3 linked regions of the Drosophila melanogaster genome follow. The protein of the gene in region 1 purifies or fractionates together with the protein of each later gene. This does not show direct contact. Each region holds a gene or a part of one and is shown on either strand. Other genes may lie near its edges.

Region 1 (4,228 bases):
GAGCGCTTTAGTTAAATGGACAAAAGAAAACGGCGAGTAACTTTACGGCGGTGCGTAGGTTGCGCACTTGGCAATCTTTTCACCATACTCCTGTATGTCTCGCTGCATTTTGGTGACTTCGTAAGCCAGATCTATGGAGGTGCAGTAGATAAAGCCGCACTGGATGAATGTGTTGTCCATTACCACTACATTTATGTTCTTTCCGCAGTGCAAGGGAATGTATGGAAGACACTGAAACCGAATAAATGCAAATGACAACTGTGTACTTGATGTTTTTTTAAGTTCTGGCTTACGTCCTCTTTGTATCCCAAGTCCGAGACAGACGGCTCAACAGGAGTTAGGATGGTCTTGAAAAGGCGGTTGAGGCTCCTATTAATATCGATCTCGGTCATCACCACGACCTGCATGCCCTTGCTGGTATCGTACTCACGTGACGAGTACTTGATATTAAAAACTAGGGACTGGTCGAGTTCGTACATGACTTCCCTTATGTTGGGACCCACAAAGCGCCTGGGAACTCCGCGTAATTTAACGGCTACGGGATAGCAGGTCAAACCAGCTAAATACGAACTGCATTCATACAGTCTTTCCAGCTGCGTGACTTCAACACTTCCGAAATCAATGAACACTACATAGATTTCCTTGATATTATCCACGTTTAGCACCATGGCGCGCGACATATGTCCCTCGAACTTGTAGAGCACAATTTGTCCGCAGACTGGCGTACTCTGCAGTTTGGAGGCATCTTTGCCCAGCATCATTACCTCCGTGAGAACTGTATAATAGGCGATGTCAATCTGAATGTCCGCCGAGCGCACATAGACCACGTTAGTCTGCTCGAATGCAGTAATTCTCACTTTAGATCCAGACGGCGGCAAGCCGGGTTTGGGGTACTTCCGGCCCACCTTTTCGTCAAGGTTAAGTATCTCACCCTTGCCGCAAGCTTGCTTATGCTGCTCTGCCACATCGGCGAAACAGGAGGCATTGCAGAAGGGCATTTTGCACAGCTTGCAGAAAGTGTCTGTCCAGTTTTGACAAACCACGCACTTGCTGACGCCGTCTTCCAGCAGGCTTTTAGTTTTATCCTCTTCGGTGACAGCAACCGTTGACCTGAGTGATGCAGAAACTATACTCGTTAGCTAATCAAGGGCACGTGACCAGGTGGCTATACTAACAAAGGAATCGTTCTGCCCGAACGAAAGTGCAGAACGACCTGCGGGATTCTGGTCTCATCCTTAAGCTTGTAGATATCATGGCGCTCCAGTGCGAATTCGTACTTTACATTGAGATAGCGTTGAATGGGGTCGTTGGTGGCCAACAATGAACCTCTTTTGTAATCATCTTTGGTGACCAGCGGTGGCCGGAAGAACTCCGGATGATTTTGTCCTCCGGTCGAGATCGGAACCTCTCTGTTGTGATTCACTGGCGTACGTTCAGTGGCCGAAATTGCTGGGCCTGGTGTTGGCATTGGCTCAGTGGAAGTCACCGGATCGCTGGTGATTTCCCGCTCCTTTTGCGGGCGACCAGTGATGCACTTGATCAGGTTCGGGTAACGCTGCACCCGCTGTTGCGCTGTCTCCAGGGATCTGGAAAAAGGATTATACGCTCGAAATATTGAATGACCTGCGAAAGTGCTTGAAGAAACTCACGCGATATTTTCAAAGTAGACAAAGTATACGCGTGACAAGCGGCGGAACTCCATCTCCTTGATGAGCGCCCGACCGAAGAAGTTGATTAGCATCTTTTCGGTCACATAGGGACTGCTTTTTGGAACCACCAAGTATGGATACTTCGCCTGCCTGGTGGCACGTTGCTCCTTTTCGTCCTTTGGCGGCAGCGGGGCTTCCATGATTAGTTTCTGGCCAGACTCGTTAGTGTAACGGTTGCCCACTTGGTCATAGTATTCCCTGGACATTGGATCGAATGCGGACCAATCATCCTGCGAGGATTCGGATTCCATTGCACCTGAGCTTTAAAATTTCACCTGAATTCGAATTGCAAGCGCGTGCGAGTGTGACCGTTTTCTATGCTGTCAGAAGTATGTTGCTATTGTAACTGTTGTTGAAGTCAGCAAACGGTCACACTGGCACTAGTGAAAAAAACCAAGCCGATTTTAAATATTGTAAACAATCTTGTAAAAACACAATAAAAAATGGTTAAAAACGAGCCCAACTTCGTGGTGGAGCGCATCATGGACAAGCGCATTACCAGCGAAGGCAAGGTTGAGTACTACATCAAGTGGCGTGGCTACACGTCGGCGGACAACACCTGGGAGCCCGAGGAGAACTGCGATTGCCCGAATCTCATCCAGAAATTCGAGGAGTCGCGCGCCAAGTCCAAGAAGCGCGGCGAGAAGAAACCCAAGTGCGAAGAGATCCAGAAGCTGCGCGGCTACGAGCGCGGCTTGGAGCTGGCCGAGATCGTGGGCGCAACGGATGTGACGGGCGACATCAAGTATCTGGTGCGCTGGCAGTTCTGCGACGAGTTCGACTTGGTGCCATCGGCACAGATCGTGGAGAAGGATCCGCAAATGCTGATTGACTATTTCCAGAAGATGGCACCTTACTCCCGTCACATTGCGATGCGAATGAAGGGCGTGCCGGAGGAGCTGCGTTTGGCGGCCTCGCGCACCAGTTATCCGCACATTAGCAGTGCGCCCGTCGAAGTGCCGCCGGAGGTGGATCAGTCCGCTGAGTTGGCTGGACATCTTGGTGGAATCGCGCCACAGGTGGACCAGGCGCCGCAGCACCATGCACCCATGGATCTAGCCAATGATACCGACGATTTGGCTAGTGTTTCGTACTCGATTCCCGTGCCCGGCGTTGGCGACATTGCCATCGATGTGCCCATGGCGGAAAATCAATAAGGACGCGAGCAGAATCGACTGTTCAGTCTTTAATCTAAGCCCCTAAGTTTAATTCATACATATGTATAGCTATCTGAAACCACTGGGTTCGTCCAGATTCATGTGACCCAACTGGCCGGAGCGAAAGAAGTGAATGAACTTTCGCGCGGCCGCCAATAAATTTGTCATCACCTCCACGCGTCCGTCGTACTGCTTGACCTTGTGGAATAGCTCCTCCCGATGAGCGTACTCCGCCAGCACGGCGCTGATGTCGTCACTGGGTCCGGAGCTGAGCTTTAGCATCTCCACGTAGTCGTATTTGCGGTGGCTATTCAGCCAGTACAGCAGATAGTCGGCTATCAGATCCTCGCCCACAATATGATCGGGAAGGCAGCCCACCAGGGCCAGTTTCATGCCCATTTCATCATCCTTAATGGAGGGCTGGAGGATGCCGGGTGTGTCGATCATGTAAACAGGCGGATTCTCTTGGATTTTGATGCGTTCGCCGACGGATCGAGTTATACCCGCCTCGGCACCCACGCGTGCGGCGCTCTTCTTCTTGAGATGCACATTTCGCAGCACATTGATCACGGAACTCTTGCCCACATTGGGCACGCCGATGATCATCAGATTGTGCTCGGCAGCTTGGGTGCGATTGAAGCGACTGCTCTCGCTCACGAGGCGCGTTGCCAGGGGCAGGATGTCCAGCACGCCGTTGTTGCGCTGATCCTTGCAGTTGGTGAACAGGATGTGCTGCAGTTCGGGCTGCTGTCTCCTCAGCTGCTGGAGCACGCTCTTCTGCTGTTTGGCGCCCAGCAGATCGACTTTGTTCAGCACCAGAATATGCGGTTTAACACCACTTCCTGGGGAATATGAGTCCCGTATTAAGTGGCAGCTTATGGTTGTAAACGTACTCACCGGTGATTGTGTCAAAGAACTGGGAGTTTCTGCCCGCCAATGGGATGCGTGCATCGTGAATCTCGACTATGCAGTCTACATTTCGTAGTTTTTGCTGAATTTGCCGCATACCCTTGGTCATGTGGCCGGGAAACCAGTTGATGCGCTGCTTGGACGGCAGCCGGAAGGCATTGCGGAATGGATTCAGCTGCGCTGCCATGATGCGGAATCCATGTAATGCTAGCGAATCCAAATCAAAACTTTCAAACAGCTGTTGGCCAGTGACGTAACAATTGACCCAGGATTGTGTGTGGTCACACTAGTGGGGGGAGTTGGCTGTTGGGTGTGGCAGCACTGGCTGATTTAAATTTGAATTTAAAATTAATTATACAGATTTTTATTTTTTGGTACAAAACTAAGATTGTAAATACTAAGTTTATTTTCCGCGGTACAGCTGCACCGCTTTCTTGTTGGATACCTCCAGAA
Region 2 (8,877 bases), 4.5 Mb from region 1:
AGCATCCGCTGCAGTGCGTCCTGCCCCAGAGCCTGCGTCGAGTACCAAACCGGCGAGTCGGGCACACACGAGCGCTCCGGCTGCAGATAAAAGACATCATTGCGGGTCTTCACGCTCTCCGGGCTGTTAAACAAACGTACCATGATTAACAATCGATTCTTGTAATTATTAAGCATACTAACTAACCATTTGGAGAGATAAAATTCGTAAAGGCGGACGGGACAGCGCAGCGGATTCTCTTCATTCTCCTGCTGCTCGTAGACTTTCTTCTTCCGCGGATTGGCATCTGTTTGAAAAAAAGTTAAGTAAGAGCTCAGTTTCTGTGCATACGAAGCTTAGTTAAGAGCTTACCCAGACCCGCCTGCGGTGGATAGAATCGTAAGAGCACGTTTCGTGAGCCAGGAACTTTGGAATTCTGTGATGAGCGCTTCCAGTGCTTCATTATGTGCGAGAAGGATAACTGCATGTGCTCCTCCACGGTCTGAAAAACCAAACGCAATTTAGCCCAGGTCAACAAATGCGGCATCGTTTACTCCTACCGTCAGATTAAAGTGCTTGGTGTTAAAGAACATTAGCGTGCTCAGCAGAACATGCGGCGAATGGGCGCCAAGTTGCTTGCACTCCCACAAGTGCTCCTCCTCCACGCGAGTGACAATGTATTCTGTTTAGGTGTATAAAGATGTGGTTACGCTGGAACTGACTCATTTCAAGTTGATTCAACTTACGCGAATCGTTGTAAAGCACGGAGAACTTGCGCGCCACCTCGTCAAGGCACTCGGTAAACCGCTCGTAGTACGGATCATAGAATATGTTGTCTATGCGTCCATTCACATACAGATATTGCTGAATGCCTGAAGGAAGAGATTCCAATAAAATCAAATGGTACATGTGTAAACCTGGGGAGTAACTACATACCCAACACAAGGTAGTAGATGGTGTCCGGCGCGTATTCCGTCCCGTTGGGCTTGCGCACTTCCTTGACGAAGAGGCAAAGCGAGTAGTTCAACTCGTCGGCGGTCATTTGAAGCAGCTCCGTCTTGAAGGGCCGCCGGCGCATCGAGCTCTTCTCGATGTCCGCGTTCTTCGTCATCACCCACTGCTTCCATGCGTTCACCCCGAAGGTGTACTTCAGGAACATTTGGGCGTCGGGCTTCTCCTGCGGCTGCTGTGCCTGCTGCGACTGCTGCTGCAGGGCCGAGTGATCCATCTCGCCGCCGCGCTGCCTTTTCACCGGCGAGCGGCTGTTGCGGTTGGGTGGGTCCATGACGACGCCTACGCCGCGCTTGCGTCCACGTGCGGTTCTGAAAGTCATCACATTTAAGTACTTGAGTATTGATCTCTGATTGCCATCTCTCTTAACTCACCGCTGCGTGGCATCAAGCATGTGATGCTGCTGATCTAGATGATGTACTCCCATTTGACCCATTCCGTCGTGACCCATCGGCGACTGGCTGCTGATCGTATTCGCCGTCATCGACGTTTCCAGATCCACCGTCGAGGTCTGGTGATGATTGTCGTAGTCGCCTGTGGCCATCTTGAGGGCTATCTGCAGCATATCGTCGCCGTAGGGATTATGTCCGGCTCCGCTAACGTCCACCACTTGCTGTTGTTGCTGCTGTTGGGCGACGGACTCGAGGCTGTTCTGGTACTGCAGAGCTACCAGGCCCGGATCCGGCTTGATCTCGTTGTCCGAATCGGAGTCCGATTCGTGCTTCTCCTCTGCCACCATCTCGGCCATCATAAGCAACTCCGCCTCCAGTGGATCCTCTGGCATCTTGTCCTGTATCTTCTTGATCTCCTTAAGTATGCCTTGCGCGGTGTTGCGCGTGGTGGGTATGAAAATAGGCACCGGGATTGGCAGCGGAATGGGCACTGGTACGGGGAACGGAGCCGAGTACATGTACATGGGTTGCGGCACGAAGATGGGCACCGGAACCGGGATGAGCACCTTGTTGGAGTAGTCTTTCTCCGTCTGGGTGGCGCAATCCCGCACATCCGGACTACACTGCTCGCCCTGGGTCACCGTTAAGGGCTTACAGCTTATGTTCACGTTTCGCACAGCCTTGGGATATGGTGGCACTGTGATGATCTTGGTCTCCGTTACCGTAGCCGGCCCGAAATCCATAGTCGTGGTAGTATTTCGCCTGACCGGAATGCCCATGTGGGAGCTGCCACCTGACATCGTGGGCGATGGTGAACGCGCCGAGTAGTCTACAGCGTGCTTGCGTGGCCTTCCTCGCTGTGCTGGCGGATGGACACCCGGCATGGACAGCGGCGGTGATGAGGTTCCCGATTCCCGTGGACGTCCACGCTTGCGACGAACCGTCAGATTGCCGATCCGGGCTTCGGTTTCGCCGCTGGCGAGCGATTGCACCGTGGATATAACCGGTAGCATGGTGCCGGAGCCGGATTTCTTGCCTCCAACGCCACCTTTTCCAGTCTGCAATTATCGGGGACATTAATTATATGCAACTTAGGTATGATACTTAATTAATTTACGTTAATTCCCATTTTGGTGGACATTGAATGAAATTAGGATTGCAATTGAAACTTGAATTGAAAGCCAAATTGAAGTAAATGTATTAATAATTAAGCGAGCAGGTAAAAAAAATTGCAAATACTTCGTTTACGTTCAATATTTTAACACTTATTGCATGGCTATCATTCGATTGTAAAAACTTAAAAAAAACCCAGTGTGTACCCTTTTAGTTTATTATTTAGTTTTTGACTCACGTGGGAGAGCTTCAGTTTGACACGTTTGGGCAGGCCCGTGGGAAATGGTGCCGCATTCTTGTTGCCTCGATTGGATTGCTGCTGGGACTTGGAGCTGCCGGCGCTACTGGGCGGTAGGTCGCTGTCCAGCGTGAGGGGAGCGCGGGCGAACTGATTCTGGAACTGCATCACACACTGGTAGGTGCAAAAGTTGCGCATGGAAGCATCCGACATGGTCAAATGATACTGTGGCGTATTGAAGTTGGAACAATTGTCGCATTTGGTAACCGCCCTGGCGGAGATGTTGCAGCTAACGCCGTGCATGGTCAGGCAGTTGATGGAGCAGGTGAGCGTCTCCTGATCGTGCGGCCCACCAATCTGATAGATCATGTCAAAGTTGTACTTCTTCACCTTGCACCACTGGCAGGAGACGATGTGCCTGTTGACGATGATGTACACATTTATGCAGACCCGCGAGCAGAAGACCTTCGGTGACTGCTGTTCGTTGTAGATGGTGTAGGACTCGGCGCTCCGCCGCTCAAAGTATTTGGAGCACATGGCACACGGATCAGCGTTCACGTTGCTCACAAACTTAAAGGCGGAGAAGCAGGGATTCGAGCAGAAGTAGTGCTCTCTGTCCTCCAGCAGCATCTCCACCCTCACTGGCTTCTGGTTGTTGCACACACCGCAGACATCGGTGCGTAGTTTTCGTCGGGGATTGCACATGCTTTCGTAGCGACGGAGGCAGGATTGCGAACAGAAGTCCTTGAACTGATCCTTGTCACCCACCGGGGCAAGGAAGCCCTCCTGCCCGCCGCTGATGTCCTTCTGGCAGCAGGAGCACGTCTTCAGACCCTTCTTAAAGGTGTTAAGGCAGCCGGCGCAGCAGAACTGCCGCACATCGAAACCGAATCGCACGCAGTACTTGCCAAGCGCTATGGAGCTCACCTCCTGCTTGCAGGTCTCGCAGGTGGAGCCAATGGTGCGCTGATAGCTGCCCAGGCACACCTCATTGCAGAAGTCCATGGTCTCCCACATGAGCTGCTTCTCGTCCGTATTGATATCCGCCTCGCAGTCGGCGCAGCGCCTTCGGAAGCTTTCGATCCTGTCCAGGCGCGCCGTCTCTGCCTCCTCCACCGTCCTGGCCACCACGCTGCCGTCGGTCCGTTTGGTGGGCGAATTTTGCGGTGGCTGCAGCGTTGTGGCGCCAATGTTGCGCACTCGAATCGAGTGCCGCTTCAGCTTGAATTTATCTGGCTCCTCAGCGTTGAGCAGATTGAAGCAATCGTCATTGCAAATGTAGAAGCAGTCCTGGTCCTGTTTAATGAAATATTTGCACCGCGTCTTATCCTTGCACTGCAGGCAATCTTGCGTGTTGGCTGGAGTAGCTTCCTCCTCGGCATCTCCGCCCTCGCCATCGGCGCTAGCCTCCGCTTCGGCGGCGCCTTCTTCTCGAACCACTTCCTCGACCAGGAACTTCTTGCGGCGTACAAAGTACTTGCCGGGTTGATCTTCTAGCAGGGCGTCGACACAGGCGGTATCGCAGATGTACTCGAACCCACTGGGAGCAGCAGGCTTTTGCCGAGCCTCCTCCTCCTCCCCCTCCTCAGCGTTCTCCTCTGCCTTATCGTTTTCCTTCTCCTTATCCATTTCTTCTGACTCCTCTGGACTCCTGTACCGAAACCCACAATTCTTTTCATCGCCACACTGTTTGCACTTCTGAACGCTGCCAACGATCCAACTAATGATGATTTTCGGCGTGGAACCAGGTTCACCCGCTCCGGCACTGGAGGATTCCTCGGCTGTGGGCTCGTCGGGATCGGGAACATCGCCACCGGCCTCCTCTTCGTTAGCTGCTGCAGCTACTCCATCTGCTGGCAAAAAAAGGGGATTTACGTTATATACATTTTAATAAGCAATCGTTCTGTATGCTAGGAGCCAATTTTGTAATAACAAACTAAATTTAAAGCAAGAATTAAATGAATAGAATGCAGTCGAATGAAGCAGTTAGTGAGTTTTGCCCAGGAATTAACCCAATCTGCTCACCTTCTGCAATGCCTGTTGCCGCCGACTTAGCTCCAGCTTGAGCATCTGCAGGCAAAATGGATAGAGTAGATGTGGGATAGGGCATTTCAAGTCTTAGTGTGGAGCACTTACCAGTTGGCGTGGTTGGAGATACGTCGGTGGCGTCAACGGCAGCTGCACTGTCGTCTTCTGGATCGGCGGCGGCATCTGCCGGGGACTTTCTATCGTTATCGGGTGTCTTGGCTTGCCGCTCCTCGGCTTCCTCCTCTTCGGCGGCCTTCTCGGCATTCTCGCGGGCCAGTTCCTTCTCAGCTTCAGTCACTTCCGTTTCTTGATCATCGGGAATAAGGCAAACATCTGATTCCTCTGGCTCCAAAACATTTTCCACTGTGTCTATAATGTAAATAGTTCATTCATTTAGTCTTTTATAAACATGCATCAAAGAAGTACTAAGACTTACCATCGCCATGTTCGGCCTCACCAGTTTCCTCGGCATTTTCATCCACCTGCTCCGATTCCGCATCTCCTTCTGCATCCGGATCATCTTCATCGGCGGCCGCATCTTTCTCCCGTTCATCAGGATCTTGGCCATTTTCCTGCTCCTCTAAGCTTGTGTCCACCTCATCTCGGCCCTCCGGTGGCTCTGCATCCTCCGCCTGGTGTGAATCTGCGCCCACGGACTGCATATCTACATCATCTGTCGCCTCTCGATCCAGAGCTGCGTCGTCTTCTGCTTCCTGCTCAGCTTCACCTTCTGCATCCACCTCGCCTTCATCCACATCCATTGCTTCGGGTGAAGCGGGACCGCCGTCCACAGCATCTGCTTCGGCGGCCGCTGCCTCCACCTCTTCCGCAGTGGCCTGGAGGGCATCAGTCTCCTCCTCCGCCTCCTCGGGCTCTTCCTGTGGATCTACCCTCACGGCTTCTGTTTGTGGCTGCTCATCCTCACCGCCTTGCGGCTCCTCGTTGGGCGTTGGCTCCTCGGCGGGCTCCTCCGCATCCACGGGATCAGCTGGTGTACTAGCCGCCTTATCCCGCGACTGGTTATCATCGGCGTCTAATGATCCCTCGGAGATCTGTTCGAAGTCGTCATCCGCCTCCTTGGAAGGAGGCGGTTTGCTTTCCTGCGCAGCTGCATCCTCCGCTGGCGGCGAGGCGGGCGTATCCAGAGTTTCACTGGCCGCCGGAGCAGTCTGTTGTCGATCCTGATCCTGTTGTTCCTCCGACCTGGGGGTGGCCGACTCCGGTCGCGCATTGGAATCGGCGCCGAACGAGTCCAAACTGGATATCTCCTCCATTTCGCTGCTTGATTTTTTAACCGACTTTCGCTGTACGTTTGTTTATATAGACATGAAAACTGCAACAAAAGGAAAACAAACAACAAATGGTTAGGGCTCGTCTATCGATAACATTCGCGGCGCGGCGGACTATCGGCTGGCCAGGGCCCCACACCATTGCCGCCTAAAATGTGTACACACACACGCACAGGCACACCGACGCACACACACACACACTGAGCCCACGGTACAGTGCACGAAAAAACAAAACATGCGCCTCCAGAGAACAAAAAAAGTGGGGAAAAAAGGAGGAGTGTGTCTGTATGCGCCGCTCTGCCAGGCAATTAATATTACTGCACTTGCATTATCTTTTTTGGCCGCGTTGCATGGGCGGCTTTTCCGTACTTTTTTTGCTGCCTTGCCGTACGGTACTTCGATAATCCGCAATCCGAGCGCCGACTTTTTTTTTCGGACAGCACGAGTTTGTTGTGGTGAGCGCGTCTCCACAGGCGAATTAACTGCCTTTCACCGCTGCGCGTGCGGGCACATCATTAACGGTCGGTTCACGGTACGCGCAAAACTTTTCATCAATTACCAAACACCTTTTTGCACTGTGCAATTTCTCGCTTTCTGGCCACTGTGTGAATTTTCGGCTTTATGCGAGTAAAATGGCGCACTAGTGTACCAAATGCGGCCCTCGCATAACGCGTTCGCTTCTTGGCTGGTATCTGCCGGAAAATACCGAAAATGGCGCATAAGAAAATACCGGCGTGAGTGGTGCAACCGGTTGGCAGCACTGCTCGTTTATCTTTTTGAAAAATGCTTCTAAAGTTTGGATCGCTTTTGATCAATAGGAAATTATTGAAAACTACAACTTAAATATAGACTGTCTTTCATCTAAGCTTCCCCTTAGATGAGCTTCCAGTTTGCCATATGCAAAAGATACCCAATACAATGCTAATGAGAACTGATATTTTATTGGCTTATTTTTTTTAAATTTTTGGGTTTTATGCGCGAAGCTTTTGGGAATTCCAAGTAGTTTTCTAGTTTTGATTGATGAATCCCTCGGCGTCCAGAAGAACATTGGGGAAATACTTGATAATTTTGGTGAAGTGCGGGAATTTTTGCGTGTTGGCGAATGTAATCTCATTGATCTCCTGATACTGCTTTAAAATCGTGATGAGTTCATCGGGAGGCACTGCATCCGCCACCAGCCAGTGCTGGATGGCGTAGTTTAGAGCATAGACCGGGAGTTTCATTAAACTGGGTTCGTGGATCAATGATGCGCCTTCCTCTATGATTTTCTAAAGGATAACTAACTAAATTAAGGCTCCATTTTATATTCCAATCTACTAACCTCGATGCAAACGCGCTCCACATCGATGATGTTATGCCGGAATGCTAGGTCGAAGGCAGGAAAGATGCCATCCAGAGGCAATTCCTGCTCCTTTAGTTTCTCAGCAAAGGAGCGAAGGAGCTCCGGCATGTTGTACGCGCAGGACAGGATGAACATATCCCCCACCAGCTTCAGCTGGACCAGCGGCGAGGTCACCTCGAAGGTGTATATGAACTCCAGGAAGATCTCCACGCTCTCGGGCGAAACCCCATTGATCTGGAGTACGCCGTTCCAGTCCTTGTTCTGGTACACGTCCTGCTCCAGTTTGTCGGAGGCAGTGGCCAGGAAGATCCGATGGCAGCCAAATTTCTTGTAGCACACACTGACCGCCGGCTCATCGGATTGGGGGCAGTTGCTCAGGACGTGCACCTGGCAATCGGCATCGGCTCCACTGCGAAAGTATTCCAGTCTGCGGTTTCTACTCGTAGCGCGTTTGGACCCATCACTCGGAGAACCCAATGGTAAATTCTCCTCAACATCCGATGCAGCTGTGGTTCTGGGCACAACGAGTTCCGGCCTCAAGTTCTGGATCCCTCCCTGGTCGTTCGCCTCACCCTCCTCCTCCTCCTCCAGGTCGGACCACCGATTGTTGCTTCCCAGGTGGGCTTTGCCGGCGGCCTCCTTCTCAGAGTCTGACATTCCTGCCAGGGAAACCCTAATTTCGAATTCCAAATTTTGTGCTATGTGAGAGCAAAGCCTCCAAAAAATCCCCAGTCACTATGAACTGCAAGCTACGCCGCCTGGACCTGTTGCGGAATGGCCAAAAGTCGGACTGCGAGCTCCATGTCTCGCAACCGGACAAGTTGAAGGAGGGCAAGCGTTGTCCATGCATTTTCCGCTGCCACCAGGTGATGCTCATCTCCGCCTCCGCGGAGTTCGAGCGCCTGATCAGGGATCCCGAGTTCCAGAAGAACAAGCGAGTGATCAGCGTGGACGACGCCTCTCCCACCGCCTACGAGGCGTTGCTCCTCTACATCTACACGTACGAGGTGTGCAATGCGGTGACCATCGACATGTGCGGTGACCTCATGCTGCTGGCCGAGCGCTACGAGATGCTGGACTTCATCGACTGCTACATCGACAAGCTGGCCCACCAGGAGTGGCCCATGGAGGTGGTTCTGCAGGTCTTCCACCTGGCCAGCGAGCACCACCATCCGGCACTGATGGATCTCGTGGCGAAAGTATGAATTTCCGCACTTTTATCTCGCTTAATCCCCATACCATTCCAGAAAATCCTCCCCGTAGCCACGCAGGTGCTCATGGACAACTCGTTCCTCAAGCTGAGTGTTAAGGAGCTAAAGGCTCTGATGATAATCCTGAAAAAGGATGGAGATCTCTCCGATCACGAACTGCTGACCTCGCTGAAGAACTACCAGGATGTGAACAACCTGCGCTACGAGGACATGGAGCAGTTCCAGCAGCTCGTTGAGGTAACCCAGTTGTTCGGTCACGTTCTCTTCGAAGTGG
Region 3 (8,914 bases), on another chromosome or scaffold:
CTAATCAGCAGTTATCAAGATTATAGGAGACCTTATCGCTGATGACCACTAGCCATTCGTTAAATCAACTGGGATCGAAATTCCCACACGATCTATCAGTCTTGGCGAATCAAACCATTTTGCAGGCAAAAATAAACAGTCATAAATTAGGCAGCCAAATCTAGGAATCCTTATCAAGTTCCTGGGGGGCATATAAAAGGCACGGGCGGCCAAGTCAGCGGTCAAAGCACCTGCACCTGTGGAATACAAAATGTTGGTGGTTCAGCTAATTGCGGTTTTTTTAAGTCTGGGCTTGGCTAATGCCCTGCCTGCGGATACGGGGCGCGCCAGTTCGGTGACAACTGTAAGTTTTAGGATGCCATGTTCTTTGGCACCCAAAAGTCCTTACTAACCACTATATTGCTCTACTTTCCAGGTCACCATTGTTAGGGGACACGGTTACGAAATCGAGGAGCACGAGGTGCAGACCTCGGATGGTTACATCCTCACAATGCACCGCATACCGTACTCGAAGAACACTGGGTACGATGGGCCACGCCCTGTTGTCTTCCTTATGCACGGTCTGTTGTGTTCCTCCTCGGATTGGGTTCTTGCTGGACCTCACAGTGGGCTGGCATACCTGCTGTCCGAAGCGGGCTACGATGTGTGGATGGGTAATGCCAGAGGCAACACCTACTCCAAAAGACACGCCAGCAAGTCGCCGCTGCTGCAGCCCTTCTGGAATTTTGAGTGGCACGATATCGGAATCTATGATCTGCCCGCTATGATGGATTACGTCCTTTACTGGACAAATGTGACTCAACTTACGTATGTGGGTCACTCTCAAGGAACCACATCCTTTTTTGTGCTCAACTCTATGATTCCGCGCTTCAAGAGTCGCATTCGATCTGCTCATTTGCTCGCTCCTGTGGCCTGGATGGAGCATATGGAGAGTCCTTTGGCCACGGTCGGTGGACCACTGCTTGGTCAGCCCAATGCCTTCGTCGAGCTCTTCGGCAGCGCCGAATTTTTGCCAAATACACAGCTAATGAACCTGTTCGGGGCTCTCCTCTGCAGCGATGAGGCCATTTCACAGTTCATGTGCACCAACACCCTATTCCTGCTGGGCGGCTGGAACTCGCCATATATCAACGAGACCCTGCTCCCAGATATTATGGCCACCACTCCGGCGGGATGCTCAGTAAATCAGATCTTCCACTACCTGCAGGAGTACAATTCCGGATACTTCCGGCAATTCGACTACGGATCTACGCGCAACAAGAAGGAGTACAGCAGCAAGACCCCGCCGGAGTACGATGTGGAGGGCATCGATGTGCCCACCTATCTCTATTACTCTGACAACGACTACTTTGCTAGTCTGATTGACGTGGATCGCCTTAGGTATACCATGAACCCGAGCGCCCTGAAAAGCGCATATCGCATGCCGGAAGAAAAGTGGAATCATATCGACTTTCTGTGGGGACTGAATATTAAAGAAATTCTTTATGATCGGGTAATTAACGACATAAATAATGCATAAATGTGCGCTGGAAATAAAAAAAAGCGACATACGTTTTTGTGACATTGTGATAAAAAAAGTTCCATTGGTCACCACTTCAACGGGGGCTTTTGGTAGCTAATGAACCGATAATATACGAGTGGTCATAAATTCAAATTGATTTGGTGACACTTCACGGTGACTGAACAACGCAAAACGAACTAGCCTGCTAACATTTTTTGCCTTATAAGTGCACCTGCTAAATACAATGGATTATATTAAGTGTAATATAATAAAATATAAGCTGTACTAGATATTTTTATTTTATTTGCTGATTGTGTACTGTTGAGAAATATTTTGCACTCTTAGTTTGAATTGCGCGCCAACTTTCAGGGATGAAGCATCTTGTAAAATCATCGATAGACTTTCAGCGTTTTTTGTGGTAGTCGATAGTCCGCAACATACTGATCATAGTAAAAAATATCTGTAATGTATATTTAGGTGGGAAAATATATTCATGGCATTTATTTATACGTTAAATCAATTCTTGTTATGATATTCCTTAATTGTAAAAAAATTTTATTCTTGTTCTTATTAGCAGAATATAAAATTGACCAGTTTACGTTAACACTTTTTTTTAAATACAAAAATTTGATTTATATTTGTTTATATTTTAACGAACCGATGTGTGGTGCACCACTGTGCGTGTGTCACGACAATACCCAAGCCGATATTATCGATGTTTTCATCGATGTTATTTACTCGAGCAGGTACATCCACGCAAGGAAAGCTAATTCGAGCGAAAAAAAATTTACTTAGCTCTTAATATTTTTAAAAACAACGCCCTCGCTGGGCCAGTGGTCGGTTAACTAGTTAGCTGTAAGATGACGCGCGTAACGAGAAGTGAAATCTCCCTGGACATGGAGTTCTGGGTGGAGGAGCTGTCGCCGGCACAATTGGCGTACTACGAGAAGATTACTAACGAGCACAACGCGGTGAAGGGTGCACTAAAGAACGCGGTTAGCGCCAACGAGGGCAAGGAGCTGTTTAACGGCCAGGTGTTCCAGGCCTACTCCTTTAAGGGCAAAGTGCTGCAGGAGCTCAAGGAGGCTACGCTGCCCAAAAAACCACCCAAGCCGACGGACTCTCCCTCAACACCCGCCGCCCAAAGCGGTGGCACAGGGCGGGGTCGTGGCCGCCCACCACGACAACCATCCAACATCGCCTACCTGGAGTCCTCCGATGAGGGAGACGACGATATGCCGCTGGCCAAGCGACTGGCGCTGTCTGCAGGCAAAAAAGCAGTGGCCGTGGCCAATGCATCTTCCTCGTTCACCCCGAAATCCAGTAAGAAGGCTGCATCCGCTGCTAGTGGAGGATCTTCTTCACCGGTACCTAAGAGCAGTGGAAAACTATTTAAGGAATCCAAACCGGACATCGAATCGCCGCCGAAGAACTACCGCCCCGCCGAGGTTAATTCGGTGGGCGGTCTGGTGGTGGGCAGCACCGACGAAAGCAAGGATAGCAAAGACGGCAAGGATGGCAAGGATAACAAGATGCAAGGAAAGACATATCCATCTCTGGTGGTGCTAGCAAAGCCTTTTCTCAAGATCAAAGACATGGCTGCCACCCGCAGCAAGCTGGACTCGAAGGTTAAGCTGGTGCTCATGCTTACGCCCAATAAATTCTGCGAGTGGCTGCTCCAGGAGGGATTGCTACGCGCTCAACAGCATTGCATAAACCATCGCAACAACGAGCTCAAATTGGGTAAGAGATATATGATCAACTGAATTCGTTTATTAATGTATTTATATTTAGGAATTTATTCGGATGTGACCAAGTTTCCCTACACTGGTGGCTATGTGTGGATCAGCGAATGTTGCCCCTACCGCTTCGTCTCCGTGTTCAACAATTCCATTTTCGAAGGAGCTCAGCACCCACCCACATTCCTGTTGAAGTTAATTTACCACTGGGCTTGCCAGACCAGTATTCAAAATGTGGTGCAGTGGGTTAAGGTGGACAGTGTTTATATCAAAGGAATCTACACCTGGCTTAGAGCCATTTGCACTTTGGCAGTGCATCAAAAATGCAAGAAGCTGGGCGGTCCCGGCAAGTTTGTGGAGGTGGGTGTTATTTCCCTAGGAACCACATCCCAAGATGGCTCCCAGCGACAAGTGAAAGTTGAGGTTCTGGGCGTCTATGATTATGCGGAGAAGTCCATCCGACTGCGGGCTGTAGAGCCAATCACCGATGGTGATCGTAACTACAAAAAGCGATTCCAGGCCATTCTTGAGCCACTGTCGCGCTGGGTGCACAAGGACAGCACCATTTGTATAGACTTGACTGTCGACAAGATCACCCTCTTCAGCATGGGATTCAAAAATATTGTCCAAGCAGCTGCCACTGACAACACAGCCAAGCACAACAACTCAGCGGTAATGGAATATTTGCGACGGATTGTGCCGCGCATGTTCCAGAACACCCTATCGTTGCTATCTCGCCAGATGATTCAACAATTCCTCGACGAGTTGGTATGGCGAGAGTCCTTTGGTACATATGCCTTGCAGGCATTCAACAATATCATAATACACATTGCCGAGCAGACAAGAGTAACCACCAATGAGACAATCACTCAGCGTCTGTATCAGGTAAGCAGAATCGAAAAATTTTTATTAGCGATTAGCCTTTAATAGCTCTTTCGTTTAGGTGGCAACCAATCCGTTCAAGGACTGGAGTATTTTGCCGGCCAACTACAAGGAGACACCTGCCAATGCTGCTCCCAAGCGCCTCAAGAAACGTTAGTACTATCGTACTTTTGTAGCAAGTTTTTATTTAGGCCGTGAATAGAATAGTGCGTTATGATAATCTGTTAAGTGCCTGCGTTTCTCACTCCAAACTGAAATGTTTTCGTTTTGTTTGATTAGTTTTGGTTAATCGAACCCAACAGCTGAGCTCAGGTCCACTTATTGTGTTATGTGAATTGTGAATTTATATAATCTATATAGGTGAAATGTATCATTGATATATTCACATATGTACAATTTAAGCATTACTTCCTGACATTTCTCGTGTCTAATTATTTTAAAACAACCCCATTAGAGAAACCATAAATAAACTTGCAAGAAATTTAATAACTGTTTTTATTTGATTTCCTTTTTCATTTGGAGTGATAAAACGCAAGAAAGAATTTACTAATTAAATTGATTGGACCCATTCCACCAGATTCAACAAAAATGGACAAATATGTAATGTTTAAGTTTGTATGTTGAGATTACATCTTTTTAAGTTAACATCTTCAATTGCAGCTATCAACGATGCTGACTACGTTGTTTCTAACAAGATTCCCAAGAAGGAAAAGGATCGTGATATAGCATCATCTGGAGTCAAGCGCGGCCGTCCACCGAATGCATTAGGCACCCCACCACCTCAATTGCCAATTAAAAAGGGTCCAGGTCGGCCGCCGGGCAGTACCAACCAGACAAAAGGAGACAGAGCAACGACCTCGTCATCTAAATCACTGTCTAAATCTCTGATAGCTAAAGGCCTTGGTAAAAAACCGAAAGAAAAAGATGAAAAGATTCCAATGGTCATTAAGAAAGAAGAGGATGATCTAAGGGGCTTGGAGGAGCTGTACTATGGAATAAGTGATGGTACGGACGAGTACCACGAGATCTTTCCATATAGCACACCCCGTACGGTTCACAACGAACTGGCCAAGACCGTGGAGTGTCCAATCTGCCTGAACGGCGACTCCTTCGATTCCAATGAGAAACTCCAAACGCATTTAGTATCGCATATTTCGCCAGAGGGTAAGCAGCACCAGTTCCAGTGCCTTTTTTGCTTGGAGAAGCATCCCACCGAGTCGGTTTTGGCCAAACACAACCAGATCATGCATCCAACTGAGACAAAAACGGAGGGTTCACCCTCGTACTACTGCCTAATATGCCAGCAGCGTCACAATTCCCTGCATCTGTTGACGGCTCATTTGCAGAAGGTCCACAGCACCCTGGAACTACCATATTGGTGTCACTCCTGCGGCTATCGATCATCTTCGCACCGCGATTTGGTCAGGCATTTTTATGACGACCACAAGCATCAAAACTTTTTACAGTGCCCCTATTGCTTGGATGTAAGTAGCTGTCATGGTAAAGTAATCTTGTAAAGTTCTCTCTATTAAAAACTGATTCTTTTTAGATTTTCTACTTCTCAAAGCTTGGCGTCGTTAACCAGCTGCGCATAGAACATTACTTCATGCATTTGGACGAGCACATCAACAAGCGTGATCCCTCGCTGCGCTGCCAGAAATGCTCGCTATCCTTCCTCGAGAAGGGGGATCTAAAGCAGCACGCAGTGCAGCATCATGTGAGCATGACTAAGACCAATAGACCGGTGCGTCTCTTACTCAACAACTCGATGTTGATACCACCGCCAAAGATTCGCACCCATCACCGCGAGCAGCCGCCGTTCTCCACCTACAAGCGGCCAGTATTCTTTGCTTTTCTGGAGGGTAAGACCTGTGCCGAGTGCAACACCGATTTCGCCAGCGAGGAGACACATTACACGTAAGTTCAAAAATATTTTATTTACCTAAGCAATAAATCGCCATGGATAAAGGTGCCAGTATTCACAAGAGAAAACCAGAGCTGACAGTATCCAACCAATTCCCAAGACACACCAGCCCAGTCTCAAAGTATCCACATCGATACTTTGATAGCCCAGGACGTTATCTACAAACCTAACGTATCCAGCACGCATGGCATCGTTAAAGTCGGAAACTACCCAGTGATTCAGCAGTCCAGTATCCTGAATCTTCAATATGAAATGGTTAAGGGATGTCTCCAAGTGGCTGTCAACGCGCATTGGATAGCCAATATGTGGAGATCCCAAGCAAGCAGATGAAAAGCGAAAAATCGGCTTAAAGGCATATTGCTGTTGCATGGCAAAAAACTGCCAACGTTCTTCTGTAAAAGGGTACGCGAAGCTGCGATTAAAACTCAGCAAAGCGGACACCTGTTCACTGGCATTTACAGGCACCAAAAGCCGAGATACTTTTTCCACTAATCGAGGTTCAACATGGCGCAGAAATGTGTTAATTTCATACTCCTTGACGAGCACCCTTTGCTGCTGGTGGACAAGCTGATCCATGCTATTTACTTGCTCGCCCACTACTATGGTTGTGAAGAAGCTGTCCAACTCAATGTTGTACCAACTTGTGGACATGAATCCCAGGACTGAAAGTTGTAGGAAAATAATCAAATGGCGCCATGTTGGTCTGTAAATTGTTATAGGGGGGCTGATAAAAAGTATCTTGCTTATCGCATCTAGAAAATTCAATCCCAAGCGTTGCGGCCAAGAACTTTTATTGAGTTTCGGGCTTATGCAATAGAGAATTCCAGTGATGTAGAAAACTGCGAATAACAGAATATACCAGCTGTACAATTGGAATGGTCGCAATAGGTACATGTGCCTTGGAATCTCATTTCTCATGGGCACAATCAAGCAGTTTGGATATATTAGTAAGGGGTAACTCTTGGTTGCTGTTGGGGGTGTGAAAACGTACGGGTGCAAAGAGATTTCCAATTGACCGTCTATAATCAACTGCACAATGTGGTTCATATTCACACTAGTTGTTGGGTCTAGATTCTCATCTGGATTGGTCAAACGCAGCGAGGCATTATAGTGATCCAAATATTCCACGAATGTGCGATATGCGTATCCCAGCACCTTTCTGCTCTTCGTTAATGGATCGTGCACATGAAACACTCTCGGAATATCATTTTCCGCCGGAGTGGATACTACATATCCATGGAAATTCCTTGCTGCATGTGGAAATAGCGGTTCCGTATGAATATCGAGTTTGAAAAAACGCATCGCCGGATACGGAGTGTAGGAATAAAGCTGATCCCTTTGCAGGACAAGAACGTTGAGGAATTGATATTGCCATAAGGCGTTGAATATTGATTTAATAGCACCTTGCGAGCCACTTCTTTGATTACGCAGAATGATGATCAATCGAATGCGACGGAGTTTTCGTAGATTTCTATCCAGAGTAAGCCACATGATATCATGTTTATCATGACAAAAGAACAAAGCTATGCCATTGTATCTAGTGATTTTAAAATGACCAAGGGGTCTTATATGTTCAGGTTGGAGAAATAAATTCATTGTCAAGCTAGTAACTCCCATTGTTTGATGGAGCCAAATAATCAAGTCGTTGAGGTCGCCTCCTTGCGTATTATGTCCGACGAATATTGGTGTATTTATCCACGGCTCCCGTGTAGAGATGAGACTTAGAACGGATTTCAACAATGTCACATTGTAAGCAGCGTTTGTTAGCGCCAGTAATAAAATAACGACCAATAAGGTTAACACTTTGCACATGGTGGTTGATTCAATTGTGACAAGCCAGAACCGCGGGTTGAGGTTTATAAGTCAGCAGCTAATTGATTTAATAGTGGCTGATTGATCTCTTGGGGAAAACTCATTAGAATGTGTGAGGCAATAATTTGTAATAAAAGGTTTTGGCGCTCTACGCACTCATTTAATCACTTTTTTATATTAAATCTTTTCCCAGTGGTTGGCTACACTGCGTTAAGTGCAATTATCAGACATGTTGCGAGCGAGCGCAATTCCGTCATGGCGTGGAATGTAATGGAAACTTTGTGGACGCCATGGAAGTGAATATGCCACAGGAGATGCACTGCATCTGCGGCTTTGCCACCGGCAACGGCAACAAGATGGCTCAGCACTTGGCAAATTGTGGACTTAGCACCTGCTACCCAAGTTTGGAGGCTGCCAGTGAGAATGCCGTCAAGCGTAATATGCTGGACATGTTGGGCCTGGTTCGACGCGATGGAGAAACCTCTGGTGAAGGTGCAGATATTAGCGAGACTGCTGATGATGTCGCGGATCAGAGCTCCGACATGTTGCCGCCGCAGGAGGACCATCATTTGCAGCAACACCATCAACAGGTGGGACATCAGCAACAGATGCAGGGACAGCCGAATGAACCGCAAGCGGAACTTCAACAGGAATACTTGTCGGCGCCAGTTGAGCATGAGCCCGTGCAGAATATGCCAGTACATCAGAGCATGCCGGTGCAGCAGACCGGTCCAATACAATTTGGAGAAATGGAGGCGGCCCCAGTTTTGCTGGATACCCAGCAGCAGGTACAACCCACCCCGGATTATGCTCAAGTTTCGGTGGTGCAACAGCACCAACAGCAACAGCCCTACGGACTAAGCAACTACGGCCAAAGCTCTTTAGCCACGGATATCGACATGCCACTGATTGGAGAGCTCTCTGAGCCAAATGCTCCACCCACGCCCCAGTTCCTGGGCGAGGTGCACACGCCCATGTTCGATGCAGTCGCTGCCGCCGAGCAGCAGCACTATCACGCCCAGCACCATCACCATCCGCAATGATACAAGCCCCACG

The links. The genes of interacting proteins can lie anywhere in the genome.
Region 2: the proteins of HP1c (region 1) and woc purify together in Drosophila melanogaster (affinity purification with western blotting; 3 studies listed by BioGRID, with this or other methods). This does not show direct contact.
Region 3: the proteins of HP1c (region 1) and row purify together in Drosophila melanogaster (affinity purification with mass spectrometry; 4 studies listed by BioGRID, with this or other methods). This does not show direct contact.

Annotation. Positions count from the first base shown.
Region 1 is NT_033777.3:22,743,565-22,747,792, forward strand, and holds HP1c (heterochromatin protein 1c), read left to right. Parts: upstream 1-2,055; 5' UTR 2,056-2,152; coding exon 2,153-2,866; 3' UTR 2,867-2,935; downstream 2,936-4,228. Other genes in the region: vret (vreteno), read right to left, coding at 47-231, 294-1,110, 1,176-1,586, 1,650-1,960; CG17141 (uncharacterized protein), read right to left, coding at 2,936-3,708, 3,764-3,962; CG31139 (uncharacterized protein), read right to left, coding at 4,179-4,228.
Region 2 is NT_033777.3:27,257,358-27,266,234, forward strand, and holds the start of woc (without children), read right to left. Parts: upstream 6,699-8,877; 5' UTR 6,420-6,698; exon of another isoform or gene 6,378-6,419; intron 6,095-6,377; 5' UTR 6,036-6,094; coding exon 5,198-6,035; intron 5,131-5,197; coding exon 4,870-5,130; intron 4,804-4,869; coding exon 4,759-4,803; intron 4,592-4,758; exon of another isoform or gene 4,587-4,591; coding exon 2,734-4,586; exon of another isoform or gene 2,693-2,733; intron 2,629-2,692; exon of another isoform or gene 2,524-2,628; coding exon of another isoform or gene 2,500-2,523; intron 2,441-2,499; coding exon 1,365-2,440; intron 1,302-1,364; coding exon 916-1,301; intron 852-915; coding exon 726-851; intron 662-725; coding exon 540-661; intron 482-539; coding exon 352-481; intron 287-351; coding exon 187-286; intron 124-186; coding exon 1-123. Other genes in the region: CG14262 (uncharacterized protein), read right to left, coding at 7,058-7,318, 7,372-8,049; CG14260 (uncharacterized protein), read left to right, coding at 8,130-8,591, 8,640-8,877.
Region 3 is NT_033778.4:15,206,937-15,215,850, reverse strand, and holds the start of row (relative of woc), read left to right. Parts: upstream 1-2,216; 5' UTR 2,217-2,361; coding exon 2,362-3,244; intron 3,245-3,295; coding exon 3,296-4,125; intron 4,126-4,183; coding exon 4,184-4,274; coding exon of another isoform or gene 4,275-4,279; exon of another isoform or gene 4,280-4,606; intron 4,607-4,782; coding exon 4,783-5,606; intron 5,607-5,671; coding exon 5,672-6,039; intron 6,040-6,064; coding exon of another isoform or gene 6,065-7,858; intron 7,859-8,051; coding exon 8,052-8,901; coding exon of another isoform or gene 8,902-8,914. Other genes in the region: CG8093 (uncharacterized protein), read left to right, coding at 251-343, 416-1,519; Ir51b (ionotropic receptor 51b), read right to left, coding at 6,065-7,858.